Linked DNA regions of Diceros bicornis minor. The protein of the gene in region 2 interacts with the protein of the main gene of each other region in a pairwise test. Links are inferred from orthologs where the notes say so. Each region holds a gene or a part of one and is shown on either strand. Other genes may lie near its edges.

Region 1 (7,580 bases), on a different chromosome or scaffold from region 2:
ATGGGAAAGAGACTCTCCCTTTAATCTAAATAAAATCATCCTTTACTTTTTTTATTTTTTTAATTTTTTGTGAAGAAGATCAGCCCTGAGCTAACATCTGCCAATCCTCCTCTTTTTTCTGAGGAAGATTGGCCCTGAGCTAACACCTATGCACATCTTCCTCCACTTTATATGGGACACCGCCACAGCATGGCCTGACAAACGGTGTGTCGTGCATGCCTGGGATCCGAACCTGCGAACCCCGGGCCCCCGAAGCAGAGCATCCACACTTAACCGCTATGTCACCAGGCCGGCCCCATAAATCATACTTTAATTTAAATAAATTTCACATTATGGGCATTGTGTTAATGTAGATAAAATCACTGATGCTTTCTAAAAGAAAGAATTTATGCATTCCTATGTCTTAGCCATTTTAACACAGACACAAAAAATAAGGAGAAATTTTGAAAAACAAAATATTTCAAAATTACTTATTTAGAATCTGGGGAACAGATTTCTTATTCCAAGACCGGAAGCTGCTTAAAGGTTTGACTAGACGGTTTGAGTAGTGTGCCCTTAAAATCAGGATTTCTGGATCTTACAATGGTCTTTACTCTCTATTAATAAGCAAAGATGCTAATACTTCATTTTTACTAATCTAAAAACCCAAGTGGGAGGATACTTCACAGACACTGTTTCTTCCTCACCAAACTGATCTGATTGGTTATAAGGCACAGCTGTATATTTCTGTGCTTTGAAGAGAGAGGTAGAGGAGTTAAAGGGGGGGGAATTGGAAACAAAAAACTGTGAATCAAAAAAAATCATTCATATTCATAATATCCAAAAGTTTAAAAACTAATGTGAATAACCAATCATGAGATAATCATTAATTATGGTACAGTCACACGATGAAATATAATTCAGTCATCTTTTAGACAAAGAAAAATGATATATGATAAAATATTAGGCAGGCAAAGTTATTTTTACAGGGAGTTTCTACTGCATAAAAAAACACAGACTAGAAGGAAATATACCATTGTTTAGTGGTGGTTATTTCTGGATGGTAGAAATATGGATGACTTTGTTTTTTCCTTTATCCTTTGCTGTGTTTTTTTGGTCCTAGAGAATCCAGAGGCTATTTTCCAGGACTCAAAGGTCTGGAGTTATCTCATCTGTCTAACCAGCCTCCCTGAGCTCAACATGGTTATTTCAGCAGGACAGGAATTACCACTGTGGCTGGCTTGGTCATCAATTGAGATTTAATAAGAATACCTGCTTAAACCTTCCAGTGGCATCTCACAGCACTTAGAATAAGATACATACTCCTTAGCTTGTTCTCCAAGCTAAGGGCCCCAACAACCTCTCTCACCTCAATTCCTACCACTCGCCCCCTCACTCACTGTGTCCAGCCAAATGGCGAAGCTCACCCCCCCCCCCGAAACTCTTGAAACTTACTGTTCCCTCTGCCTTTTCCCCCACAACTTCCTAAGAATGGCTCCATCGGGGCATTCAGTAATTGGCTCAAAATGTCACCTCCTTGCAGAGGCCTTCCCTGACGACTGATTCTGACTTAGCTGCTTCTTCCCCACCCCCATGCCCATTTTATTACAGCAACTGTTTTATTTTCTTCATAGCTCTTATCACCATGTGAATTTATTTTTTAACGTCTTATTGTCTGCCCTACCTACTCCTCCCCAAAGATTATAAGCATCATGAGAGCAGGGACCTTGCCTGTTCTGTTCACTACCATAACTTCAGTACCTAGAACAGTGCCTGGGAACAGTGGGCGCTCAATAAATATTTGTTGAAGGAATTAATGAATTACATCAATGAAGGCATTAACACAGAGAAGAAATATGAAGAAACTAGAGGTGCCCTAATAGAAACAAGGAAATAATGTGGAAGAAATGTTTTCTTTGTCCCTAACTGCTGAAAGCAGCCACGCATCACCTTCATTTGCATGCCCCGAGGTGCTGCTAGAACTTACACTCAATGATCACCAAATCAGTGTCACCTGCAGCCCAAACCACGCCTGCTCCTCCCCTCAACCACAGCAAAGATTGCAACTCTTCCCGGAAGCTGCCTTGGGAACTTACTGCTAGCTCCGCTGGCTGGCAGTTTCAGTGAAGCTTGGGGGCATCCTTAACTATATTTAGGCTGAATTGTTACGAGCTAACCCGAATGATTATGTAACATGGACCGTGCCAGGAGCCTTATATGCTCTTACTGAAAACTCACAACCACCCTGCAAGATAGTAGTATGTTCACAGACAAGGTTCAGAAAAGCTGTGTTATTTGTCCAAAATAATTTACCTAAGTGCATATAACTACCAAGCATTGGAGCTACACCAAACTGGTGCCCAAGTGAAGTGTTTTAGCTGGGAGGAATGCTTTTAATTTTTGAATTGCCACATATTCAGAACGCATTCCCTCTGACTAGAATACAACCCCCTCTCACGACCATTTGCTGAATATTACCCATCCTAAATCCCAGATCACACATAACTCCTCCAGAGAGCACACCTCAGTCTCTCCAGTCAAACTTGATTATTCCTTCAGAAGCCACAAAGCCTTGCACCTTCTCCAATATCAGACCCTGCGTACTCTGCCTTGGATATTTTTTGTAAATGTCAACACTACTATATTCTAAGCTCCTCCATGAAATCTCTCCCCCATGTCACCTAGCCCATGTACAGCACACAGTAGGTACTCAGAAAATGTTATCTGAATGAGTAAATGAATGAATAAAATGGAACTCATTGTGAGGTAAATCACCTTCTAAGTTTAAAAATTGTTACCATTTGACTATTTCCTAATGGACGACGAACTTATATACAGAATCACAGAACTGTTGAATCTAGTGTCTGAGTCCTTGCTGGTTACCTAACCTTCTACCCAGTTATCTCAGGAAGCCCAGAAATCCTTTCCACAGCATGCACTTTGCAATTATTTAAAATATTTATTGAGCACTTAGTATATGGGGAGAGTGACAAGATAAGATACTGCAAAAAATAAGACATGCTTTCATGAAGCTTAAAGTCTGGTAAGACAGGCAATCAAAAGGAAGCAAATAAATTAAGAAGATCATTACAGACGGTGACAGGGGCGTTGAGGGCCTGTGTGATAGGGAGTATCCCGGGAAGACCACCTTAGAAAGGACGCTCAAGGAGTGTCTGAATTGACACCTAAAGGAATAGAAGAAATCAGGCACAGTAAAGCCATGAAGAACATTCTAAGCAGAAGGAACATCAAAGGCAAAGGCTTGAGGTGAGAAATAACATGGCATGTTTGAGGAACAGAAAGGAGGCCACCAATGAGAGTATCTGGCAAAGAAGAGTGGTAGGAGACAACAGGAGCCGTAGCAGCAGCCATATCATGTAGGGTCTTGTAATCCATGGTGAGGAATTTGGATTTCACACCAAGAGCAACGGGAAGCCACAAAGGGTTTGAAGTAGGAGCATGGCATGATCTGATTTTTTTTTTTTAAAGATGGTTTGGGCTGCTGAGTGGAGAACTACTGCAGAGGAATGAAAAGAAGTAGGGAGACCAGTAAAGAGGTGACCGCAGTCCTTCAACTGAGAAGTGACAGTAGCTTGGACAAAGGCTGTGGCCACGGAAATAAAGAGAAGTGGAGAGAGTGGAGATCTAGTTCAGAGGTTTGACTGACAGGACTCGCTGACTGACAGGATGTGTGCGTGTAAGGAAAACCAGGGGTCTGCTTTTACAAGCAGGTGAAGGCATCATTTACTGAGATGGGAAAAGGCGGGGAAGGAACAGGCTTACAGGGGAAAAAATCAAGAGTTTTGCTTTGCCCATGACAAATATAAGACGTCTATTGGATATCCACGTGGAGGAGTCAGTCAGGTTGGATCCGAATCTGGAACTCTGGGGTGAGACTTAGCTGAAGATATTCTGGGAGTCAGCACACTACTGCACTCTACGTCCTGGTCCATCCGTCTTCTGGGGACACAAAATAACTGCACTGCCTTTCCCCTGTTCAGCCCTCGGCATCCGCCAGGAGGCCGGACTTTGTCCTGTGGGCAACAGGGAGCAGGAAAGAGGCTACGCAGGGCAGCTCCCATGGGGTCGGGCTCCAGGGGAGCCGCTGAGGGCGCATCACTCCTCGTGGGGAGGACCTGGGCGGCGCCTGCCTCCCTTGGCCCCGGTAACGCGGTCTCCTCGGCCCCCCACCTCCAGGAGCCGGCCTCCCCGCTCCCCGACCCGGGCCTGTCTCCCGCCCTCGGGCATCCCCCTCTAAGCCCGGCTCAGCCTCGCTCTCACCCGCCTCCTTCTCCTCACGCCGGGCCACGCTCTTCCCTTTGGCTTTCTGGCCCCGCAGCCCGCGTCGCCGCGGGCCCCCGCCAGCTGCGCGCTTTCGAGCCATGCTGCCCGGGCAACACTAGCTGCTCGCGTGACGCACCACCCCGCGGGAAGCTGCCCCTGGCTGCGCCAGGCGTAGCCACGCCCCTTCCTCACAGGGCAAGCCTCCGCCCCCAGAGGAAGCTCCGCCCCAGCCCCAAAAGACCAAGGCGAACAGCGGGAAGCAAGGAGGTGCAAAACAGATTTCTTTGCACTTCCGGTGCATTGCGTCCTCGCGTTTCCGGAGACAGGAGGGAGCTCGCGTGCTCTCGCGAGAGGCAAGGAAGGGCGCAGGGTTTGAAACATGGCGGACGACGTGGACCAGGTGAGTGTCTTCTAGGGAGCTCGCTCCGGAGCGGCTTCTCCTCTCCCAGCCCTGGCCCTGCTCGGCTTTGCGTACCACGGTTGCTTTCTCGAAGCTCACGGGAAGGTGGCCGATCGTGCCGCCTCTTTCCAGGTCACCATGGCCTTAATCGGCCCGTTGCTAACCGCGCCCCCTGCGACTTTTGCTTCAAGCCCTGAGATCTTTTCTAGTTCGAAGCCCGCCTGAAAACTAGTTATTCCTCCCGTTCGTCGCTCCCTTTGTCTTCATTCTGACCTTTATCTGTAGAATGGGAATAATTACTCCTGCTTGCCTCGCGGAGCTGTCGGGATTCTGATACAAAGCGTGATAGTAAGGAGTTATCGTTATCGAGCGCAACCGTTATTACTCATTCAGCAAATACGTAGTGAACATCAGCGTTTGCTTAGACACCGTTCTAAGCCCCAAGGACGCCGGCATTGACATGCGTGACCCTTGTCCCCACTTGGGCTTATATTCTGGGGGAGGATAGATGAAAGGTAAACATAAATATATGCGTTATGTAGGCACTGTGATGTGGTATGGAGGACACAAACAAGGAACTGGTGTAGAGAGTAACTGATGGTCCCACAGGCTTTCTCACCTGCTCTTCCTTCTTCCCAAAATGCTCTTCCTCAGGTGTCTTTGTGGATCAGGCCACAGCTTCTTCAGCTTTCTAGTGAAACCTCACCTCATTGAAGAGGGCTTCTCTGGCCACCTACATAAAATAGCATTAGGCCCAGTCTGCTTTATTTTTCTTCATAGCGTGTTATCTGTTCATATTAAGTGTATGTGTCTTTGTTTGATGTCTCTCTCCCTCCGCTAAAATGTGAGTTCCTTAAGAGCAAGAATTTTGTTTTATTCACTATTCTGTTCTCAGGTTTTACTTTTTTGTGTGTGTGTGTGAGGAGATTAGCCCTGTGCTGACGTCTGCCAATCCTCCTCTTTTCTTGCTGAGGAAGACTGGCCCTGGGCTAACATCCATACTCATATTCCTCCGCTTTGTATGGGACGCCGCCGCAGCATGGCCTGACAAGCAGTGCATCAGTGCGCGCCCGGGATCCGAACCGGCGAACCCCGGGCCGCTGCAGCAGAGCGCGTGCACTTAACCGCTTGCACCACTTGGCAGGCCCCTGTTCTCAGGTTTTAGAACAGTGCTGGAAACATTCGAATACTTATTGAGTGAATGAATTGAATGATTAGGGAGGCCTCTTTGAAAAGGCAGTATTTAAAGCTACAGGATGAAAAGTGTGGACCGTGGGCATCCCAGACTGAGGCTAAAGGAGCCGTAGGGCTCTGTCATGAGTATATTCTTACAATATTATAATTGTCTATTTATTTGCCTCTCCCCACTAAAATGAGCAGGGACTGACTGCTGTGTCATTGTAATCCAGTAGTTGGTTAGCTGCCCATTAACAAACGCCTGTTGAACTGGGGTGGGGCCCAATTGAGGTCAGGATTGCTTTTTTTCTCATCTAACCTTTTAAGGCTGTAGAGCCTGCAGTGTTGGGTCACTTTCCTCCCCTGGCCTCATGTACTCCCTGAAGAAGCTCAGTAATCTCGTCAACTCTCCTGGCTTCTCCCTTCTGTATGGATGACCCCAAGTCATCCTAGCCCTGATCTTTCTGAGACCTGTTTCCAACAGTTCTTTAATAGTAATAACCTGAACCATTTATAAGTACTTTCTGTTTGCCAGGTACTGTTTTAAATACGTTAATTAAATACATTAGCTCATTTATTCCTCACAAGAATCATGAAAGGAAAATTATGGCTTCTTCATTTTGCACACAAGGAACCTGAGAATTAGAGGTGGCATGATTTTTTATCTCAATTCATATAAGTGTCAGAGTCAGTAGTTGAGCTCACACTGCCTGACTCCAAAGCTAGTACTTTCAACCAGTATTCTCTACTTCCTGCTAAATATATGCATCTTACCAGCCACTCAGCACCCTAGACTCAACCTGCCCTGTACTGACCTCGTGGTCTCCCTCAAACCTTCCTCACTGCTTGGCGTTCTGACTAGTGTGTGGTAGTCATTAAGTGAATGTTTTTCAAATTACTAAATGATATTTGAGACAGGGCTAAAGTCCCTGAGAGTGACTCACTATACCCTGAAATTGGGTCAGGCAGTTTGGATTTTGAGGGAACAAAGTACAGCCGTGATAACTTTGCTGTGTAACTCCTTCCTGTGGATGTATGTTTTGGCTCTCGTTTATATAACACTTACTATGTGCCAGGCTTTGTTCTAAGGCTTCATATATGTCATTTAAGGCTCACAACAGCAGTGTTAGGTAGGCATTATTGTCATCCACAGTTTACAGATAAGAGACTGAGGCATAGAGAGGTTAAGTAACTTGCCCACAGTCACAGCATAGCAATGATTCAAACACTACGCTCTTTCTAGTACTGTATCATAAGCCTGTTTCTTTTATCAGCAACAAACTACCAACACCGTAGAAGAGCCCCTGGATCTCATCAGGCTCAGCCTGGATGAGCGAATTTATGTGAAAATGAGAAATGACAGAGAGCTTCGAGGCAGATTACATGTAAGTAAATTTATTAAATTACGTGGTGGTAGATTACATGTAAGTAAATTTATTAAATTACCTGGAAATCAGATTATTTCCTCTTCATCCCTCCCTACCCTCACCCGCTTGAAATGTAAAAACTGTCCACTGTGGAAGAGTATTTAGTGTGTAGATGAGATGGAGGTAGAAAGTCACCCATATTTCTACAAGCCAAATACAGCTATAATTTATTCATATTTTTAACGTGTTTTCTCTTAACAGAAATGTTTATTAAAGAACATATTCATTTCTTTCATTTTTTCACTTCTGTTTATTTTTAAATAACATTTGTTTGTCCTCCATTCTTATTTAAATGTTTTTTAAATTACTGACAT
Region 2 (7,221 bases):
GCTCCATCCCTTAAGCCATGCACGCTCTTCTCAGAGACGCTGGCTGGGCCAGGACGACCAGCACTCACACATGTCCAGATACCCAGACAGGGCCACCAAAGGCTCACTTCTCCCTGACAAACTTCTAGTTGCTAGGATACGCCATGGGGCCCTGAGCTTCCTCACCCATGCGGTTTCCTTAGCTATTTCAGCTGATGGATTTTCTCTGATTTTTCTTTATTTTGTCATATATCCCAAGATATCCCGGACCCCAGAATCAGGTGAGACCACTCTTCGCCATCTCCACCACTGCCCCTCTGCTATCATCTCTCGCCTGGACTATCGCCATAACTTCCTAACTTGCTGCCTTCTTCGTCTTGGGCCCCACAATCAAGTCTCTGCACAGCAGCTAGGGTGTGCATCCAAAAATCACGTCACTGCCCCGCTCGACACCGTCCGACGCCTTCCCATCGCAGGCAGAATGAACTGGAATCTTTACCACAGCCCACAGGCCCACGTAGCCGGGCCCCTGCCTCCTTCATCTCCTGTCATCCTGTCCTTCACCCCCAACCCCGGTGCAGCCACACAGGCCCCCTCGCTATTTCTGGGACGTGCCACACTCCCAGTAAGCTCTGGCACCTGTGTCCTCTGCCTGGAACATTCTCCCCTAGATCTACACAGGGCTCACATCCTTCTTTTAGGCAGGTCTCTGCTCAACCGTATGTCTAGAAAGACAAATTTCAGCAAAATCCAACTCTAAGATATAAATGAGAGGCATGCCTAAAATAGAGGTTCAGAAAGGTTTCAAATAAAATCATGGGCAAAATATGACAGGCAAATGCGAATTAAGCTCCCAGGGGTCCTGCCTGAAGCCCCCACACCACTCGTGATCACCTCTCATCCCACTTTCCTTCTCCTACACAACTAACCACTGGCCTCGAATGTCAGCTTGACAAGTAGAGGGGTTTTATCACAGTCACTGCAAACCCCCACAGCCTAGAATCGTGCTTGGCATATAAACTAGGCATTCCTGTTTGTTCAATGACTATTTTTCCAAAGTGGAAATAGTTATTTCAAATTTTCTATGAAATAAATTAGAACTCACTATTATAAAATAATTCTGATCATCCTGCAAAGTATAAGTGTGGAAGTCACCATTCTTGCTCTGTTAGAGTCTTCTATATCCTTTAACCATTTTTAGTTTGCTTATTCATCTTTTTCTTATTGATTTAAGTAAATCTTTGTTGTTGTTAGTGCCCTCGAGTCAATTCCGACTCCTAGCCACCCTCTGTATAGCAGAGCGGAACCCTGCCCAGTCTTTTTGCACCATCCTCTCACCTTCCGGTGCTGTATCAGACAATGCTCCACTGCTATTCACACGGTTTTCATGGCCAATTTTTCAGAAGTGGGTGGCCAGGTCCTTCTTCCTCGTCTGTCTAGTCTGGAAACTCCACTGAAACCTGTCCACCATGGCGGACCCTGCTGGTATTTGAAATCCCAGTGGCACAGCTTCCAGCATCACACCAACACACAGCCACCGCAGTATGACAACTGACAGATGGATAGTGTGGTTCCCTGACCGGGAAACGAACCCCAGCAGAGGTGGTGAGAACTACAAATTTTAGCCACTAGACCACGAGGGCTGGCTAAGTAAATCTTTACATATTAAGAATACTAGTCTTTGCAGTTACAGGAGGCAAATGGGTTTGCTAATGGGTTATGTTTTGTGCAGAATTTATAATGATTATGTGAAAAACTCTGTGGTTTCAGTGTCATGTTGAAGAAGATACCCCTCAACCAGAGATTAAAAAAAGATAGTCACTTAAATTTTCTTCAAATACTTGACTTAAAAAAAGCAAATATTTAACTTGATTTTTAAAAGTATATATATGTATACATAAAAAATTTGAATTTCAATAAAGATGCAAATTTAGATGGTGGTTAAGAACCTGGAACCCCAAGCCCATTACCTACTAGCAGTTCTACTTTGGACAATATTACATTTTTATGCCTCAAGTTTCCTCATCTGTAAAATGGGGACACAGGCACTACTCAATAACTTTTTGCTGTTTGCTAATATATCACATAAATGTTCTAATATTATGTATTTAAATTTTGCTTTTATGCTTTCTTCCATTTATATATGGAAAGAGTTTCAACATTTTTCACCTAAGTTTCTTGGAGGAAATCTATGCTCTGGTGGAAAGTACTTGTAAGAGAGTTATATTTCTTTAAAAAAGTTAACTAAAGCTCCATCTTAAGGCATCACACATAAGACAAAGTCAACATTTATTCAATGCTGGCTTTTATCCTACTGTATTGTTTGTGAAGTTTGTTTTTTCCAAAGCATAGAGGAGATATGAAATAACCCAAACTCTAGGGCAGTGGTCCCCAAAATTGGTGATCATAATCTGTCTGAGGGTCCTTTTACAACACAGATTTCTGAGGCTTACCTAAGGAGATTCTGATAATCAGCCACGTGTATGAATCTTTAGAGAGATGTTATTCCCATTTTATGGCTTAGGACCCTCAAACCCAGACAAGTCCTATTTTACTCAAGATCATGTTCACACACTCCAGAGGCAATGGGTCCCCATCCTTTGGCCAACATGCCTTTGTGTTTTTCCCCACCCTCCTTCCCAGCGAACTGGAGAACTCCTACTCATCCTTCACAGCCCACCTCAAAGTGGTTTCATCTGTGAGCCCCCTGGCCGCCCTGGGCGGATCAGGCCTTCTGAGCCTTCCCGCCACCGCCCTCACCCTGCCGCCTCTGAGGGGCTCCTGGAGGGCCTCGCGCGGCCTGGGACGTCTCTGGCTCCCCAGGCCGGGCCAGGGATGGTGACGCCCATGCTGCCCCGCCCGGCCTGGCCCCGAAGCGGCCATACCTCGATGGTTATGGGCAGCCAAGTGCGCTGGTTCTCGTCCACATACACGGCCCTTTCCCAGATCCACAAGCGGTCCGGGTGAAAGGCAGTGTGCGCCCTGAAGAACGGGAGCTCGCCCATGGCGCCTCGGGCGGTCCAGGCCGCAAGACCCGCAGCCTCTCCAGGCCTCTCGCTGGTGTGTGGGACGCAAGGCCTGGACACTTTATAGCGGGATCGCGTGCGGGCGCCCCCAATCGGTGGGGCGGGGAGGCGGGCGGGGCGCGAGGTGGGACGTGCGAAAGGGCCAGGCGTGAGGTAATGGGGCGGGGCGCGGCGCACGTGGGGCGGGGCGCGGGGTAGTGGGGCGGGGCGTGGGGTAGTGGGGCGAGGCGCGAGGTAGTGGGGCGGGGCGCGGGGCACATGGGGCGAGGCGCGGCGCACGTGGGGCGGGGCGCGGGGCACGTGGGGCGGGGCGCGGGGTAGTGGGGCGAGGCGCGAGGTAGTGGGGCGGGGCGCGGGGCACGTGGGGCGAGGCGCGGCGCACGTGGGGCGGGGCGCGGGGCACGTGGGGCGGGGCGTGGGGTAGTGGGGCGGGGCGCGGGGCACGTGGGGCGGGGCGTGGGGGTAGTGGGGCGGGGCGCGAGGTAGTGGGGCGGGGCGCGGGGTAGTGGGGCGGGGCGCGGGGCACGTGGGGCGGGGCGCGGCGCACGTGGGGCGGGGCGCGGCGCACGTGGGGCGGGGCGCGGGGCACGTGGGGCGGGGCGTGGGGGTAGTGGGGCGGGGCGCGAGGTAGTGGGGCGGGGCGCGGGGTAGTGGGGCGGGGCGCGGGGCACGTGGGGCGGGGCGCGGGGTAGTGGGGCGGGGCGCGGGGTAGTGGGGCGGGGCGCGAGGTAGTGGGGCGGGGCGCGTGGGCTGGGCGCGAGGCAGGATGGGCGGGCGCGTGGCACGTGGGGCGACCGGGCAGTGTCCAGAGCTGGCCCTGAGCACTGGCCAGACTTATGTCCTGGGACCGTGGCAGCGTCTAGGAGCGCAGGCACAGCCCAACAGACCCTGGACTTCCTTAAGGACCCCAGCCAGCCAGCCTCACCTCCACGCCCCTCCCATTCCCCACTGCTGGGGAGGTACCCTGTTCTGTATCTTGGTCCTTTCTTCTGTCTGAGGCACCAGCGTCCTTCTCTCCCCTTGACGCCCAGACCCACTGTCCGAGTCAGCTGGTCAAGCCACACCCCAGACCGGCACTCCGAGCCTCTGCTTGGAACTCACAGCTGACGCCAGACGACGCAGAGCCAGGGCCCCCCGCCACACCTTGTGGGATCAGAAGAAATCCATGCAAACCTGAACCAGGCCTGGTGTTTGCCAGGTTCACAGCATCACCTTCAGCCTGTGGATTTGGGTGTCAGAATCAATTTCCTTGGCAAAGTGCAACTCTTGAAGCCCCCGCCCCCTCCCACACCCAAGACATGTATTTTCCACGGCTTTGATGATGCTGTGGTCATCTAATAGCTATTGTGAAACTTGGTGGTGAAGAAACATGGGTTTTTCCCTTTATAGGCTTTGAATTCATTAGTGAAAACATGGTTCAAAAGGAATACTTAAAAAGAAACCCCTCCCTCTACCCCAAGATCAATGGATTTGAAGTCCCTGGGTTACATGATCAAACCTCTCTGTAAATTACAGCAAATAAGGAAAACAATTTCACTTCATTTTGGAGTAACACACGCGCATTAAGGCAATTAAGAAAATAAAGTACAATGAGAAACTTGTAAACGAGCTTCAGCATCATTGCTCAAACATCACCGCTGCTGCTGCCTAGCCTTCCAGCTCTTCCCCATCTCTCTGACTAGGCACTAAGAAAATAATTGATCTTTTCAAACGTCAGGAAAGTGACAATGAGCCTAACACCTGATCCCCTGATAGCAAAGGAATGTATCTGCTACTCTGCCTATCCAGACAGCCTAATTCCCAACAAGGTGCGGAGGTGGCCTACAGTAATAGACATATAATTGGATTTACCAGGAACACAAAATAGAAGACAAAAGCCAAGTAAGGTTGGGAGTGGAGGGAGGAGACAGGAGCCCAGCAAACCTCTTTGCCAGTGCAGCCCCTAGTGGTGTTTGTATTTGATATTCAGACTTGTGGCTTTCAGGGTGATTTCCCTGTGGATGGGTCTTAATTCCAGACCCAGACAGCCAATGGGAGCAAGATACTGTGGTAATATGCTCTGTTGGAGACGTCTCAGCCGAGTCCTGAGCTTTGAGGTCAGAAATGATTAACAAGTCCAGCTTAAACAGTGCCTCTGGGATGGCCTTTTGTGGCAAGGGAAGGGGGCACCCAGGAGCCAGTGTGGCCAACTGACCCAGCCACATAGATGGCTCCAGGATCCAGAATGCCACTGGGCCTGTCCATTTCATTAGCGCTTGTTTTGCTTTTCTAAGCAGCACAAAGAAACAAATAATGGAGCAAGAATCAGACCCATTTGGCTGGATTCCCTTCTGAATGTCCTGGGAAGATGATCCCCCCTACTTTGAAAGAATGTTATATTTCTTCATTTTCACATGAGGGTTTCTTAATATTGAGCAAGAGTATATGTCATTCTTTGTAGGATTTGGAAAATCATTTGAGAAGGAGTTCCAAAAAATGAAAAGTGAAATAAGGATGACTGAGGAATTCATTGGGCAGCTTCTGTGGAGGCCTTGAGCCTTCTTTATGGAAATTCCATGAGAGGGGAAACAATAGCTGCTGTGTGGTCTCAGAGGCAGGGGAGCCTCTCCAGCATGCTATCTGCCCCATCTTAGGGCTCTGAGGGCAGTCAGCCTAGCTTTAGAGTCGTATATTCCTTTCTGACTCTTTGTTAGTCTGCAAGCTCCATGGAGATAATCAAGCGGATGTTGCATGTAGAAAGTAATACAAAGCAATTATTTTTGACTGATTTTTTTACTAGAATCCTTAACTGATGCTTTCTTCTCCTGAGTTGGATCCAGTTTTGACTTTGCCACTCTCACCTGTGAAATATGCCACCCTTTGCCATCTCAGCCTCGTTGCCAAGCTTTTGTAATGAATGGGCCGAGCTCTATGGTCTCTAAGCCCATTTCTAACTCAACAGTCCCTGATCCCCTGATAAAGTTGCCTAGTGGGAGGAGGGAACGATTAAGAGAAGAGATGGATACACTCATGACATTAGTTCAGGAAAGCCTATGGTTTTGAGCAGAGTGATTCTGGATATTAAGGACCCCAATGGAATTCATTCTTCGAGAGTGAGGAAGCCATCCTTCTTGTTTGGGTTCCAAAGAAGGGGCTCGAGGGTGAGTCATGGCCATCAGTGTGAACTACAGCCTTGCTGCCCTAGGTATGGTCCCTGGAGCATCATCTGGAGCTCATGAAAACTGCAAAGTCTCGAGCCCTCCCCAGACCTACAGAGTCAGAATCTGCATTGTAACAAGATCCCATTGGTCTACAGGGGGAGGATCAGGAGAGAGATGGTGGGTGTCTGCCTTATTCCACCAGCTCCCTTTAGATTTCTCTAACTATGACACAAGAGTTGGACATTCGTTTCTGTATCATTTCGCTCTAGGCTATTTTATTTTCTGTCAAAATCATTTCTAATATATAAAGCATTCTCCTCTTAAAAGAAACTCCTGGTACCAATGTCATCCTAACCTTGATTGTAGCACACTGTAAAGAGCCTATACAGGGCTACGTAGGCATCCAGGCCTCTGGGCCCTACAATGAATGGCCCTGAACCACTAAGCTAGTGGCTCACAACCCTGGCTGCTAATTAGAATCACCTAGGAAGCTTTTATAAAATACCTGTGCCTGGACCCCACCCCAGACCAATTAGACCAGAATCTCTGAGACTGAGGCTTAAGCATTACATTTTTTTTTAAGGGGGTCCTCAGGTGATTTAATGTGTAGCGAACCTTGAGAACCACTTCTTTAAGATTTGAGTTAGTGGGTTTGAAGTGTGAACAAGATTTATAAAACCAAATAACCGTGAAAATGTTAAAGCTATTCTTTCTACCACCAATTCTCACTATAAACCTCACCCCAAGCCTGTACTTTACTTTTTTCTCTATGTTCTACTTTTAATTTGCTGCTTCCAATCTTTTGTGTGCAGGGAACCATAACACCAAGATATTAGGATTGTAAGGTTCTGAGATCTCGCCAATGTGTAAAACACAGAAACTCTGCAATGTGGATGTTAAGGCATCCGTGCTAGTTGCCTAGAGTGGTTTTTTTAATTATTCCTAGGTCTGGGCCATATTTTACATAATTAAGGCTGATGATCAAGTGAGCTCAGAGTAAAAGAGATAGACTTTGCCCGTAAAGGAGGAAATTTCATCTCTAGATGAATGGAGAATTTGGGACAAGAATATTCTAA
Region 3 (7,108 bases), on a different chromosome or scaffold from region 2:
GCAGCAATAACTAAAAATAGTTTGACCAAATGCTAGTGTTATTAATCTGTCCTGGAGTCTCTCTGATGTTAAGGTCATGTGTAAAAACAGAACTCATTTACTCCTCAAAAACCACAGCTTTCAATGGATTCAGGTAAAACATACAATCGGATCAGAGAAACTTAGCCTAGCAATGATCTTTCCTGGTGGCTGAAGGTTCTGTTTAGAAGAAGGGTGTCTCTGCGAGAATAGACTTCTTTACCCATTCTAGTGCTGGATTTAAGCATCCACTTAAATGACACAGCTCTAGAGCCTTCGACTGATAAAGGGAAGTTTGTTTTTTATTTTCTCTTTAAGTCACAACAGTTTTCATTGCCAAAGGAATAGGACATCTTGGGTTGGTGCTGTTAATAGGATAGATTTTGGAGATGGAATTTCCCCTGCCATAAAGACACAATTATCATAATTCCAAGCTGAAATTGGAAATATCAGATTCTGTGGACGCAACACCCAACCTTAAAGGAGTATCCAAAAAACTTACTGCTCTGAGGATGCTTTTGCTCTGTGTAGTCCAATATACAGGTTGAAAAGGCAAGGGGCCACTGACCCAGGTGGAGAGTGGAGTATGTAGCCCACCTGCTACTTCTCAACCAGGAAATGAGTTTTATTTTTAATAAAACTGATAGGCAGGCTTGTGATAGCTGAAATAAACCACCAGTGCTGGGTGGTGTGTGTACACATATTAGCAAAACAAACAGAGAAATCTGTGCTAACTCAAGATAAGGGTGGATAAATATAGGAAAACCTAACACCCGACTACAGCAACATATAATTCAGTCTTAAATGACAGCAACGGAGAAATTCACTTTTAAGAAACCCCACCTCGATGGGGTTAGAGCTGGCTTCTCGCACTCCCCTCTGGGGGCTTCACTGGCTTTTCTGAGAGCCCAAGAGCTGCAGATTCATTTAAAAGAGACAAAATAGAAGGCTGACTTTCTTAACTCACTCACTCCAACGGGTACCTGACCCCTTCTCTTCTGGACCCCCACCACTGCCTCTCATCTTTTAGTAACCGCCCCCTCCTTTCTCTGGCTAGAGAACAGCTGATAGAAATAGATGCTTTTTTTTCATATCAAAGGCAGCCCGGAGCCGCCTCAGCCTTGCCCCAGCCTCAGACACAAAAAGCTTTTGATGTTTATAATTGTGAGGCTTTTTGCAGCTGCACTTTATCAAGCCTGCAGCGGCGGGGCTTGGAGGGCCTCGGAGAGCCAGAAGGTGGCGGCGAAGTCACCTTGGGAAGAGAAGAGAGTCAAAGGGAGGAAGGTAGAGGGGCTGACCCCGGCAGGACCAGAGGGCGTGCCCCTGCTCTGGGGTCAGTGAGGAAAGGGAAGGGAGATCGGAAGGAACCCCGGCCAGAGGGAAGCGGTGCCCGAGGACCCCTGGGCAACCCTAGTCGGTGATCAGCCGACCTGGGCAGGGGAGGAGGGTGCCCTTCGCAGTGTGACTGGAAGCTTCGCCTTCCAGGCTTGCTTCCTTCCGCCTGCCCCTGGGGTTGCTCTCTGCTCAGGCTAGCCTGAGCGCAGCTCGGAGGCGCTCTCCTCGCTCCACATCGGCGCCCCCACCTGCCGGGTGCCCCCGCCCGCCGAGCGCACGCCCAGGAGGGCGGGCCCGGAGCTGAGCGCAGCCGCCCGCCGCTGGAGAGTGCTGGGAGCCCAGGAAACGAGCAAGGCCTTTCTGGGCGCTGTGGGCTGCAAGTCACTCCCTGAGCCTCCTGGGCCACAAAGCGGGACTTGCCCGCCTTGCTCCCCGGCGCTCCAGGGAAGGGAGGCTCCAGCACGCGGCACTGCGCTCCAGGCCCCTCGCCGGTCCCAGGTAGCTCCTGGCGCGCTCCGGGCTGGGCTGGGCTGGGCCGGGCCGGGCCTGGCCGCGGAGAGGGGGCCTCGTAGCCCCTTCCCCAGGGCGCGGTCTCCTCCTCCTCCTCGCCAGCTGCACCGCCAGCTCCTATTGTTCGCCCCGCCCGCCTGGCGGCGTCCCGGCGCTGCTCCCTGGGCCTCGCAGGCGCACCTACCTTCTGCTGCCGGCGAGCCATGTCGGTGGGCTGCTTGGCGTTGAAGGGGTAGGCGATGCAGCGCATCACGAACACATAGAGCTGCAGCCTCTTCTTCCTCTCCTCCTCCTCCTTCTGCAGCCGCTCCAACTCTTCTTTCTCCTTTTCGCTCACCACCGACGGGCTGGGGCTGGAGGGCCGGCCGCCACCGGCGCGGCTGCTGGGCTGCAGACCACCGGCCCCGCCGCCGCCGCTCGCGCCGCTGGCCCCGCCACCACCGGCTCCCACTCCGGCCCCGGCGCCAGCACCGCCGCCGCCTCCGAGCCCGGCGCCGCCGCCCGAGCCTTCGCTGGTGCGGCTGGGAGACAGGCGCGCGCCGGACGCGGCCGAGCCAAGCACCTCCTTGCCACTCTCCTCCTCCACGATCTCATCCGATTCCTCTTCGCTGGACGAAGGGTCCAGCATGGTGGCGTTTGGGGAAGGGGGTCCTTGGAGCCCCCGGCTTGGGGTGCAAAAGGTGGGGGGCGCCGGAGGCAGCTGGGAGTCGGCTCTCCCGGATGGGCTCTTCTCCCGAATTCGGGGAGCGAGCGCGCTGCTGCTCAGTCTCGGCCGCCGCGACTGCTTCTTCCGCCTGGCGATCTGGAGCTGGGCTCAGACCCAGGAGCGAGGGGAGGAGGGACAGGGAGAGGTGTGTCCGTGGACCCGAGGTGGGCAAGGGGGAGAATCAGTTGCGAGCCCCAAGCCCGCAGCCGGATGCCATCTGCAGCCGCTGAAGAAGGCGCCTCCAGAAAAGATGCCGAGTGTTGCAAGCTGTCGATGCAGCCAAGAGCCGAAGAGGCATCTTGCCGATTGGGGAGGGAGCGGCGCTTACGTGTTTATTGGCTTAACTCTCCCGTGTCCGCGGCGTAAAGGGTGGCTGCAGAGGGCTGGAGGGGGGAGAGCGCGGAGCCTCCGCAAAGTCTCAGAGCTTCGGTACTGACCCGAACGCCTTCCCACCCCCATCAGCCCCTCCCTTTTGTGGATAATTTCCTCCTTGATCCCCAGGTCTCACTGCCTGGACCTCTCTCCTCCTCCCGCAGACAAAAAGTTCTTGGGGGAGGAAGAAATAGACAAACCAGTGATGACTTTTTGTCAGCGTAGAGTGGACTGTCTGTCTGGAGACGCTAAATCTAGAGGTCTCACTAAGAGGAAGTCGGCGAGATCCCGTACGGGAAAGCAAGAGTGTATCTCCTGTCCCCAGGTTTCTTCACACCTGGGGCGTGGGGGCAGTGGGGCTGGGCAGAGTGTTTATCCCACCTGTGTAAACTCTGATTCCAGCAATTTACTTTACATACGTCCACTCTCATTAAAATAAAAGTGAATCAAATTTTGAGCGGATTGATGTATCGACCATGCAGCTCAACTATTTGAGTAGAACCCTCGCCCTTGTCTCCTCCGCAAAAGCTATTATGAACATTCTTCAATTCCAAGAACTGGGAATACTTTCTGCTGAGGTAAGCCTACCAGAGAAATAGAAGGGTTTCTCATTGCTCAGCCCTTCCTCCATTCTGGCTCGCTGGGAGATCTGGGTGGAGGAGGGGGGACCTCCAGATCAGACAAAGACACCCCAAGAACTCAGCGGCATCACCATCTAATGCGTTGACTCTGTTGCACTGTCTTCATCTCTGCTCCTCGGTTATCTATTAATTCAAAGCAGCAGATGGTGCCTTCCTTTCCCCTGCTTTTTTCACTTAGGCCAATAAACCCGGCGGACCGGGGAGCTGGCCAGCGTGCTGAATCTAATCAGCGACCCGCAGATGGATTGAAAACAAACCGACCCCCGCCACCCTTGGATCTTAGGCTATCTAGAGACCTCTCTCCACCTCCCCGCCACCCTATCTCCTATATTTATTTTCTAATGCTCTAGTTATCCATAGATACTCGTAGGATTTATTGTAAAAGTGTAGCATGAATTTAAAGTTTACATCACGTCTGTCTTTAGGTATTTTCAAATTTACCATGAGTTTTACTGTAGGCTTTGGTATTCAAGTGAAGCTTTCTAGCTAATCTGTTTGAGAGCTAAAAATGAACTTAAAACAACATCTCACTTCACATTAACTCCAAAAATCCTATTTGATTTCTTAAATTAAGTAATATATGTATGGCTTATATTTGACTTCACCACCATACTCACCTGAAGGACATAACTTCTGTGGCCATCATGCATTCTGTATCAATTTAAATAATCCAGCAATGTGAAAATTGTTACAATTTAGCAATCTTCACTTTTTAATTCTTCTAAAGGAGTAAAAGATGTTCAAATTATGTTGTACTCGTTTCCCTGGAACAGAAAATACAGTAGGCCAGTCAGTCAATTAATCAACAGCCCTTCAGCACCTTTTTGTGGAGTGAGTGGAATGAACATGAAGTTCTAGGTGCTTGTGGTGGATGGAATTTTTGGAAGACATTCTCTTAAAGACTCTAATCTCCTTTGGGAGATACAACAGATACACGTGAAAAAGGTTGACAGCACTTATTTCAAGGCAACATACCAACAAATCCAAGTTAGTAAACCCCTAAAAGCTGGCTTGAATGAAGCAGTTGGGAATGGAAGAGAATCATATATTTCTCAAAGAGAGTTAAATTTTAAAGGAAGGAATCATATGAATGGATGATGAAAAGGGAAGATATTGTAAGTGATAAAGTGATTTGCAAAGCCACAGTGATAAGACAAGGGACCAAGTAAGGTATAAGTGTTGTGGAGATGGTGTGTGGATAGGTAAGGGTGAATCGAGGAGGAAAAAAAGAGCTGAAATAATAATCCATTTGGCCAAATGGGGAGATCATGTTTAGGACACAAAGAAATGAATTATTAGCTAGGGAGCATGTGGTTTGCAGAGGAGGTGCTCTTCAAGGCCAGATAAAGGCCATTTACTAATTAAATATTTCTTCTCTAAGCAAGGTTAGGCATTTAAGTATTATCACATTAGGCATTGGTAGAAGAGTGACCGTGAATTCTGTCTTCAGAACCATTTGGAATTTCTCAATCGCTATAATAAAGATTTGTTTAGTTTTGTATTTTTACAAATTCCTTTGTAGTTATGTGGCGTTTTTTTCCCCAGTTATACTCATTAAAACATAAAATCAGTATCTGCCTTTGGTTAATCATATAAACCTATGATGGGTATTAAATATAACATTGCTCAGGTAAACCTACACTCTTCTCATTCCGCCCATGAGTGTTCAATCAAAGAGACTTAAGCAGATTTTCCTAGAAATACTTATAATTTTTTTCAAATGGTGTGCATTTCTGTCTTTTAAAATGTACATCCTCTCAAAGACATCTTTTACCTTAGCTAAAAGTCAATCCAGTATCCTTGGAGATATTATAAGTCTTTGCTACTGGTGAAAATAAGAAATGTCAACCAGAACTCCTTAGGCATCTTAACCAGGAGTTATGGCTTTCCTAGATGCAAATTTTGATGAACAAGGAAGAAAATAACCCCAGAACACATCCACAGGCTCTTAACATGTGTTTATCTTTTGTTAACATCCATATTCCTATTTTAAAGAGTACAATTCTACCATAGGTTCTGATACACGTAAGTATTTATATCCTCAAACAAGCTATTTTAGGTACTTGCTTGTTTGCCCCCACCTCCAGTTCTGCTTTGTAGGAAACTTGAATAACCCCAAGGTGATGGAATAAATTTTAGTCAGCCATCTGGAGACTATATCGTGAGTAGAAGTTTTAACATTGAATTTTTAAATCCCACCCACTAAAAGCAAAGTCTAGGGGAAATGGAAATGACTGAGATGCTAAACCAGGGTTTTCTAGTCTAGGCTTAGATTATCTCCGTTCTCCTCCAAAGCATTTGCTGTCATTGTGTAAAAGGCCACAAGTAGGAGGGAATATCTGACGTGTTGGCAATTGATAGACACTTTGATGAAAAACAATCGCTGTTTATGTCACTCATATAACATGTTTCAATCAAATAAAACTGAGTTTAATGCCCATTTTAATGTTTTTGTGTGTTTGTTACTAGAAGATAGTTTGACTAAGTAATTTTTTTATCTCACAATAAATTTCATAGTATCTAAATGTAATCATCTCATCCAATCAACATTTTTTTAATTTTAAGAATAGCTCACAGGCACCAAAAAGGAAAAATTTGAACCTTATGGTATGCCTATGTCAATTTAAGTGCTTGGACTCTCAACCCAAGAAGTTCTATCTCTGGCACCTAATAGCAGAGTTATTCTGAGAAAATTATTTAATGACTCAAACTCAGTTTCCTCATCTGTAAAATGAGCGATAGTAGCACTCACTTCCCTTGGAATGACAATAAAATTAAATTAAATGTTGTATTAAAAGTGTTTTTCAATAGGGGCCGGCCCGGTGGCGCAAGCGGTTAGGTGCGCGTGCTCCGCTGCGGTGGCCCGGGGTTCGCTGGCCCGGATCCCGGGCGCGCACCCGACGCACTGCTTGGTAAGCCATGCTGTGGCGGCGTCCCATATGAAGTGGAGGAGGATGGGCGCGGATGTTGGCCCAGGGCCGTCTTCCTCAGCAAAAAAAGAGGAGGATTGGCGGATGTTAGCTCAGGGCTGATCTCCTCACAAAAAAAAAAAAAAAAGGTGTTTTTCAATAGATTTTAGTTTTAAACATTTTTTCAACTGGTGGAAGAAGGACTTGTAATAAATGAAATGACCAGAAATTGGATACAAATAATTGGACAGAGAAACAACATTAAAAAGATCAAATAATCCAGAAATAGATCCTTGAATAATAGAATATTTGCTTATTTATTTAATTGATCCCTGTCTTATTTTAAATAGTATTTTATGGGACTTATGGTTTATTTTACTTGAGAAATCTACCCTTCATCATTACTCTTTATCATATGATAATTCTTGCTAAAGTAAAATGGAGTGAGTTAGGATGGAATTAAAGGATAATCATAAGACTGAAAATAATAGAATCAAACCACACAAAAACATCTTCTTTCAGTCCAGGCAACAAAACATGTTTTGCAATGATAAATAATACTACTTGCAGGAACTCGTCTTGGAAAACCACCTTGTTAATTAAGAAGATGAAAAAGA
Region 4 (7,216 bases), on a different chromosome or scaffold from region 2:
AATACCTACCTTGATGATCCTGTTACTCTATCCTGTAGCTCCTTCACCTGCCTTAACCCAAACCACTTCGTCTTTATTCTGTATTAGCCACATCCAATCCTGCAGAGCGGCCCCACCTCTGAAATCCTTCCCTGCAATCACAGCTTCCTACGTAGCACAGTGATTAAAAGCTGGCTTCAAATCCTGCTTCTGCCATTTGCCAGTTATGTGAGCTTCGTGATTTACCTAATCTCTCAGGGCCTCAGCTTCTTGCTCTGTAAAACAGGAATATAATATACCTACCTCAAAGACTTGTGAGGATTAACGGAATAATACAGGAAAACCACATAGTAAGTACTCAATAAATGCTCACTATTATAACCTGCCCCCTTTTTTATCGGTACTAAAATTTCCCTTAGATTTTTTGCAACCCATCCTTGAGGGCTCTCTATTTTCCCAGTATACATATTCTCTAGAGCTTTCCTTTTCCTCTCTACCGTAGATGCCAGGGGCTTCCACCAGCACCTTGAATTCACTCTGAATTTGCCCCCCCTGCCTATATCCAACTTGAGGTTAATCTAATTATCCCAAGTTCTACTGGAGAAAATAACATAAATGCAGTGACTATCTCCATTTTACATTGATTATTTCCAACCTTGGCGGCCCTCTCACTACGTCCCTCCATCTTTCACAAAATTACCTTTCTTTCAAGAGGGCTTCTTGTGACACCATTAGATTGGGCTATTTACACTGTTCCATCATTTGCTCTTTAGACTAAGAATCTATCTACCTTATTAGTCATATAGATTTACCTCATTCTTTTTTAAGAGTATCTATTATTAAGTAGTAGTACTATATTTCAACCATTCTACTGATGAGATGGTTGTTTAAAAGATTCTCCTACTAATGGCTTTGTAATTGTTGAATACAATGGCTTCTTTTCCATCTTTATCCTACTTGCCCTCTCTGCAGCATCCGACACTCTTGATGACCTCTTAGCCCCCTCACCCCTCTCCACAAAGCTCTGCTCCCTACGTGCCTACCCCTCTGCCTGCTCTCTCCTACTTTGTGACTCATTCTTGGTTTCTCTATCAGGCTTCTCCCGGACACTTTGCCTCTCACATTTGAGGCTTTCCAGGTTTCTAACCCTTAGCAGTAGTTTTAAATTTTTTTCCATTTTCACTGGGCATCCCTATCCACTCCCAAGCATCAGATAGTTTTCTATTTGCTGATGATTTCCAGATCTATCCAATCACTCCCCCGAATTCCAAATATGAATTTCAAATTGCCTACGGTGCATCCCGACCTCAAGGCCCTACAGGCCCTACAGGCTCAATTTGTCCAGAATTGAACTTATTTCCCTTTTTACACTTTCATCTTCCTCCCACTCACCCCACCCTGACCATCCTTTCCTTGGCAACTGGAGTGATTTTTTTCAAAGCACAAATTGCATGTAATGATCGCTTCTCAGGATATAATGATTTCTTTGCACTCTGCATGCGCTGTCTCGCAGTTCTCTTCTTCCGAGTCGTCCCATGGCTACCTCCTGCTTATCCTTCAGATTGTGGCTCCAGCATCACTACAAAGAGGCCATCCTGACCATTTGAGCAAAAGCAGTGCTCCTCAGCCCTCCTCCAATCACTATCTCATGACCCTCTTTTCTTTGCACATATCACTATCTGAAATTATCTTCTTTGTTTATTTGCTGTGACACTGCTTGCCTACGTTCCTTCTCTAGAATGTAAGCTCCACGAAGACAGGGCTGTGTCTTGTTCCCTGCTGTGTCCCAGGGCCTAGAACACCGCCTGGAACCCAGCAGGACAATCATTGTGTGTGGAATGAATAACTAAACGAACTCCTTATGCTTTAAGAGGGAAAGGTCCTGCTGTGAAATTAAGGACTGAGCAACACATTTAAATCTGAACAGTTCTGTTTGAGTGTGAGGTGTTTCCTTCCCAACTCCCTTACTCCTGCAGTTCATTCATAATCACAGACAGATCATCTGTGAATTACAGGCTGTCTGAACAAAGAATCTCAGGGTGGCAAGTTGACCCCACCCACCACTCTCACCACTAGTTTCCACTAAACCTGACACTGCAATAACCACCACCTTCTATAGAAACCATTCTTGAAGGGAGCCAGGAGTGGAAGCTGGCGGCCACAGGTCAAGACTAGATTTGATTCCAGAACACTGAGAGATGGGTACCCTCTGGTTGGCTCCTCAAGGGATTCGCAGGGATAAAGCGGCTCTGATCTGGGAACCCATCATCCCACATCCTCCCATCTGCATACACTACTAGATATTTTATACACATCCTCTGCAATTCGCTCAACAGGCCCAGCGTGCTGCGTCGCCTTTTTGCAGAAGAGGAAACTGAGCTCAGAGGCACTAGCAAAGGCCCCAAAGACGAGGTCCTAGCACAGGTTTCAAAGCTCAAACTCTATCCACTTGAGCTACTTTATTTCCTAGCTGCCCTCGAGTATCCTCAGTATCCTTCTGGAAAACAAAACTCGAAGCCCGCGCTGGAGGAGTCGGGAGGAAGCACAGAAGGAAAGAGGCCCACAAGAGTAGCACGCGGGGGTCTTCCCAGACCCTCCCCGCTCCCAGAGGTGACTCCTGGTGGCTAGCAGGAGTGGGGACCCGGCACCACACTGGCCTAAGGCTGGAGTAGCGGATACCCGGGCGCGGGGGATGCGGAAGGGGGACACTGGGAAACCGGGTGAAGGGATGTTAAGCGTTGGGTCAGACTGGACGCAGGGAGGGCGGAGCGGGGAGGGGAGGACGGAAGCGATGCTCGCTGGGAGGGAAGACAGAGCAGCGGCCCGCTCTGTCACCCGAATGCATTTCAGGCATTTAATCTAGGAGGGTGCCAAGAAGGGAGGGGAGGGGAGAGCGGGGAGCGCACGGCTCAGGCCCGAAATCCAGAGTTTGCATTTACCACCACGCCTCGCCCGGAGTCTGGCGCCTCCTCGCTGCTCCCGGCCATGTTTCTCCCAGCGAAAGCGGGAAGGACAGAAGGGCGCGGGACGGACCTGGGAGAGGGCTGGGGCTGGGGCTGGGGCTGGGGCCGCCCCGCCCCGGGCCGGCCGGCGGTTAGGAAGCGGCGCGGACCCGGTGCCTGGCGCGGCTCCAGCGCCTGGGCCGCGGCGCCCCCTCCCCCGGCCGGTGCTCGGGGCGCGGGGCGGGGACGCGGGGGCGCGGGGCGCGGGCGGGGCGCGGGCGGGGCGCGGGGAGCAGCTGCGGAGCGGCGCCCGCTCCACCTGAGCGCGGGCCCGGGGCGCGTCCCTCGCGGCCGCCGCCCGCCGCGTGCCCGTCTGCGAGCCCGGGAGCCCCGCCGCCTGCGCCGCGCCCCGCGGGGACCCGGGAGCAGCAGGCTGCCCGCCGCTCGATCTTTCCGGGAGGAGAAAGTGTGCCCCCGTCCCCTGCCTCCCTACGGCTGTCGTCCCAGCTTTCAGGCTAACAATGTCTTGAATCCTTCCTGCTAATTTTTATGCACTTTTTATCCCAAGTAAATCCGTGAACGAGCCTGCGATATAGAAAGTACGGCTGTGGACGAAACCATCCCGGATGTGTTTTTTAAAATCCTTGAACCGCCAGCTAGGAGTTTCAAAGAACATGCGATTGCTTTTACCTTGGACCGTGCCCGCGGTGATAGGATCTGGCCTTTGAAATAGGGCCTTTCCTTAACCGCATTCTGGCCGGGGGAGGCGGGTGGGGGTGGGAGTGTGGGGGGGTGATTTTTACAAATTATCTACTTTACCACTTTTGTAAGAACATATGGTCAGATTTTAATTGTGTCAGGTTGCAGTTTAAGGCAAGTGCTCTCAGATTAGAAAGCCTTCTTTTGTGAATCTTTTGTTAATTCACCTCTAATCCAAGGCTTCTCTCACTGGTTCTTTGTCCGTCCGTCAAGGGCCCTGCTTTCCCTTTATATGTATTCACTCCCCTGGTGTCTGCGATCTCGCCGCATTCTTTGCAGCCTCCCTAGGGGTTTGAAGCCTCGAGCTGAACACATTCTCTGACTCAGGCCTCTCCAGAAGACTATTTTGTTCGTCTTGGAGTTCTGGCACACGGCAGGGAGAGGAATGCTGATTTTGCCTGGTTTGAGGGGAAAGTAGTTATCAGTCAATGTCGTTCTAGGTTGGAAAAATATTAGTCATTTCAGACGTGGCCTTGCTCAGCACCGTTTGTTGTCGGTCTCTCCGAGAAGCCAGCGCCGAGGAAGGAAGACAGCTCCGTGGATGGCTGAGACTGGCTCCCGTAGACGGGGTGACAGTGTTTCCTGGCGCACAGGTGAACGTTTTCTCTCCGTATCTGTCGGAGGTCCTTGTTTGGGGCCATTTTTATAGTCTGCCTCTCACCTCTTTTCCAAAGAGGAAGGACGGTCTTCTGTTTTCATTGTCAGAGACCAAGCCCTAGGAAGCATCTTCACAACCAATGTCACTGAAACTTCCAGGAACTGAAAAGTGCTATCATTGTGGTGATGAGCAAACTTTAGGGTTCACAAGACTCTCTTGAGGAGCCCGCCACCGCCCCCCCGACCCCAGCCGACCCCTGTATCTGGCAGGTTACGGTGGAGAAGCTGTGTGATGGGACTCGGCAATCGGCACTGCCGAGACACTCAGATGAGGGTGATGCGGGCGGTTCAGGAGCCATACTGTAAGGTATCCCACTGGACCGTCTTACTGCAGCCAAGTCAGACTCACCCGTAAGAGGCTCGGTGTGGGTGCAGGGGCCAGATTAGGGGCAAGGGACATCAAAATAAGTTACAGGTGTAGCCGCTATACAGAAGTTAAAAAGCAACAACTGTGGGTTAGCCCAGGCATTTTGAGAGATGTAAGGGAAATAAACGGTTGATAAATCTTTCCTTAGAAAGGAAATGTAAAGCCCAATAGGTTCACGATGAAAAAAATGAAACTTGCTTGAATGACAACAGGAATCTTGTGAATGCACATCCAAGAACATCCTATCTAGACCTATATAGGACATCCTATGAAGACCACAGAATGATGAAAATAGGATTTATTTTATTTTTTTATCTTTTTGATAAGACTTTGTATGATTTGATTTCACTTGGATTCTTTGGACAGCGTTAATGTAATACAATATAATACTTGATATCACAAATCGTATTTGCAAGGACGGGTATCCAAGAATAACAACTCATCTGTCCGGGCTTTATTCTTAATCTTGCATTATGAGGATTTAGAGGCAAAATTCTTTTTAAATCTCAAATTTCTGTTACATGTCTAGTGGAATAGCTTTGGACAAGGATTCCAGTTTTTCTAGTGACAATCCATTTGACCTTAGCCAATGAGGGTAAGCCGATTACATCAATGTAATGTGTCTCAATTTTTTCATCTGTAAATGGGGGCAGTACATTTCCACTCTACCACATATGATGATATTAACATGAGATAACATGCAAGAGAATCCTGTGAAAAATACTATAAAACTGTAAGGTGTTATTAATCTGAGAAGCTGTGAAAATGTATGACTAGAAGTTCATAAAGTCATTTGATGTGAAAATGACAGGGTAATTGCCTTTTTAATATGAGTGTAGGGTGACCAATCAAGGACAGTTATAACCTAGGGACTAGTTGGGGCTGGTATGGGAATGGATACAGTAAAATGAGAAAATTATTAAAATAATGGAATTTTCCATAAAAAGGGATATTTTAGCTCAGACTGTCCATTTTCTGATATTCCTTGGAAGAGCTGTAAGAATAAAGCTGTACATCTTTACAAAGTTAATAACTAGTAAACATACTTGTATTTTTCTGTCATTCTCTTTATTCTCTTTTAGTTGTAGTTTCCCTGCATTTTAAATTCTGAAATTATCTTGTTTTACTACACTGGTGAAAACACAAATATTTATATTTACCTGAGTTCTCCACCTAGCTAAAGACTTTTGTCCTGAAAGTATATACTAATCTTTTGACAGATTGGTATTTCTTTAACTTTTGCCAATAGTAATCGATTATTGAAGGAGCAATTCAATCTATGCACTGAGTTGCTCAGAGCCAGTCACTCAGTGACACTAGATTCGAAATACAAAAGGGCATTTAATTTTTTATGAGTCCTGAAACATGAAAATAAATAAAAAACTCTCAGCCTGGGAATTGTGTTGAAATACATAAACATATGAAACTTAGTGACTCAGATTGTTAGTCACAGAGTCACTGGTTAGAATCTGGATGAAATCCACTATGGACGAGGGCCAGCAATAATGATGGTGACATTTTGCTTTTCCTCAGTGCTGAACAAAATCCTCTGCAAATGTTACAAGTACAAAAGAAAAAGTGGCAAGACACTTTCTTCCAAATATTCAGGCTAAGTAAGAATCTTGCTACCTTTGAGATATATTTTTTCCCTCTACATAAATACAGAAGAAATATAGTTGCAAATAATTGTAACACAAAATGACTTAAGCAAAAGCCTCATTAGTATTCAATTAGCATAGTAAGCCCTCTTTCCTGGCCCCTTGTTTGAAGCAGACTGGATCCAATGTGTAGTCTTAGAGTAAAGGAAATAATGGCTCCATAGTAGTTTTTACAAATACAGGCAGGAGCTACATTCAGAATTATGTTTTGTATTATTACACTTTCATTGGTAATTAACCTTCCACCGAAGAATACACTGCAGGTAAATTTTAGCCTGCTCTTTTGAGGAGGCATGAGTAATATCGACAGTGAGTGCTGGGCTGCTTCAGAGATATCCTCCCGCTATCTCCCCATCTGACCGGAACAGGAATTAGATTGCTTCAGAGTAGAAGAATAATGTGTGCAAGTGTTCCTCCAGATCTCAGAGTCCTGGCAGCCAACCTCAGCTCTCTTGGCCACCATAAAGCAGTCATTGAAAGGACACAGCTGCAGGAATGAGGGGCTAAGCACTAAATAAATCCATAGGGCTGGAGGCACAAGTCATGTACATGACCCTAACACAATGCCTTATGGTTGTGAATGAACGGATTAGCATCTAATGGTGCCGTGGCAGATTATGCAAAATTAATTGGTGCCTCAGCCAGTGCTGAGTTTCTGATGGAAAGTTGTCCACTTCAAGAAAAAAAAGGAGACCTCCTTAGTCGACAAAATCTTTGGCTTGTGTAGTGGGAACACTAAGGAGCAACTGGAATGGGAACTGAGCTGTTTGTTCTCTTAGCTGTACGTGGATTCTCCTCTGATCAGAGTTGATGTACAGCGCCCGCTGGCAACATCCCAGGAGCTGATCCAGTTA

The links.
Region 1: the proteins of TCL1A (region 2) and LSM3 interact in binary tests that used the Homo sapiens proteins (3 or more experiments, as listed by UniProt). The two-hybrid records come from large-scale screens. The link is inferred for Diceros bicornis minor from reciprocal best matches to the Homo sapiens genes TCL1A and LSM3.
Region 3: the proteins of TCL1A (region 2) and CADPS interact in a two-hybrid assay, tested with the Homo sapiens proteins (3 studies listed by BioGRID and IntAct). The two-hybrid records come from large-scale screens. The link is inferred for Diceros bicornis minor from reciprocal best matches to the Homo sapiens genes TCL1A and CADPS.
Region 4: the proteins of TCL1A (region 2) and PRTFDC1 interact in binary tests that used the Homo sapiens proteins (3 or more experiments, as listed by UniProt). The two-hybrid records come from large-scale screens. The link is inferred for Diceros bicornis minor from reciprocal best matches to the Homo sapiens genes TCL1A and PRTFDC1.

What each region holds. Positions count from the first base shown.
Region 1 is NC_080741.1:88,655,374-88,662,953, reverse strand, and holds the start of LSM3 (U6 snRNA-associated Sm-like protein LSm3), read left to right. Parts: upstream 1-4,579; 5' UTR 4,580-4,642; coding exon 4,643-4,663; intron 4,664-7,113; coding exon 7,114-7,224; intron 7,225-7,580. Other genes in the region: XPC (DNA repair protein complementing XP-C cells), read right to left, coding at 4,261-4,363. UniProt on the Homo sapiens protein: Plays a role in pre-mRNA splicing as component of the U4/U6-U5 tri-snRNP complex that is involved in spliceosome assembly, and as component of the precatalytic spliceosome (spliceosome B complex).
Region 2 is NC_080763.1:41,264,891-41,272,111, forward strand, and holds the start of TCL1A (T-cell leukemia/lymphoma protein 1A), read right to left. Parts: upstream 3,018-7,221; 5' UTR 2,985-3,017; coding exon 2,865-2,984; intron 1-2,864. UniProt on the Homo sapiens protein: Enhances the phosphorylation and activation of AKT1, AKT2 and AKT3. Promotes nuclear translocation of AKT1. Enhances cell proliferation, stabilizes mitochondrial membrane potential and promotes cell survival.
Region 3 is NC_080741.1:62,199,091-62,206,198, forward strand, and holds the start of CADPS (calcium-dependent secretion activator 1), read right to left. Parts: upstream 3,001-7,108; 5' UTR 2,492-3,000; coding exon 2,048-2,491; intron 1-2,047.
Region 4 is NC_080775.1:24,169,894-24,177,109, forward strand, and holds the start of PRTFDC1 (phosphoribosyltransferase domain-containing protein 1), read right to left. Parts: upstream 3,003-7,216; 5' UTR 2,967-3,002; coding exon 2,919-2,966; intron 1-2,918. UniProt on the Homo sapiens protein: Has low, barely detectable phosphoribosyltransferase activity (in vitro). Binds GMP, IMP and alpha-D-5-phosphoribosyl 1-pyrophosphate (PRPP). Is not expected to contribute to purine metabolism or GMP salvage.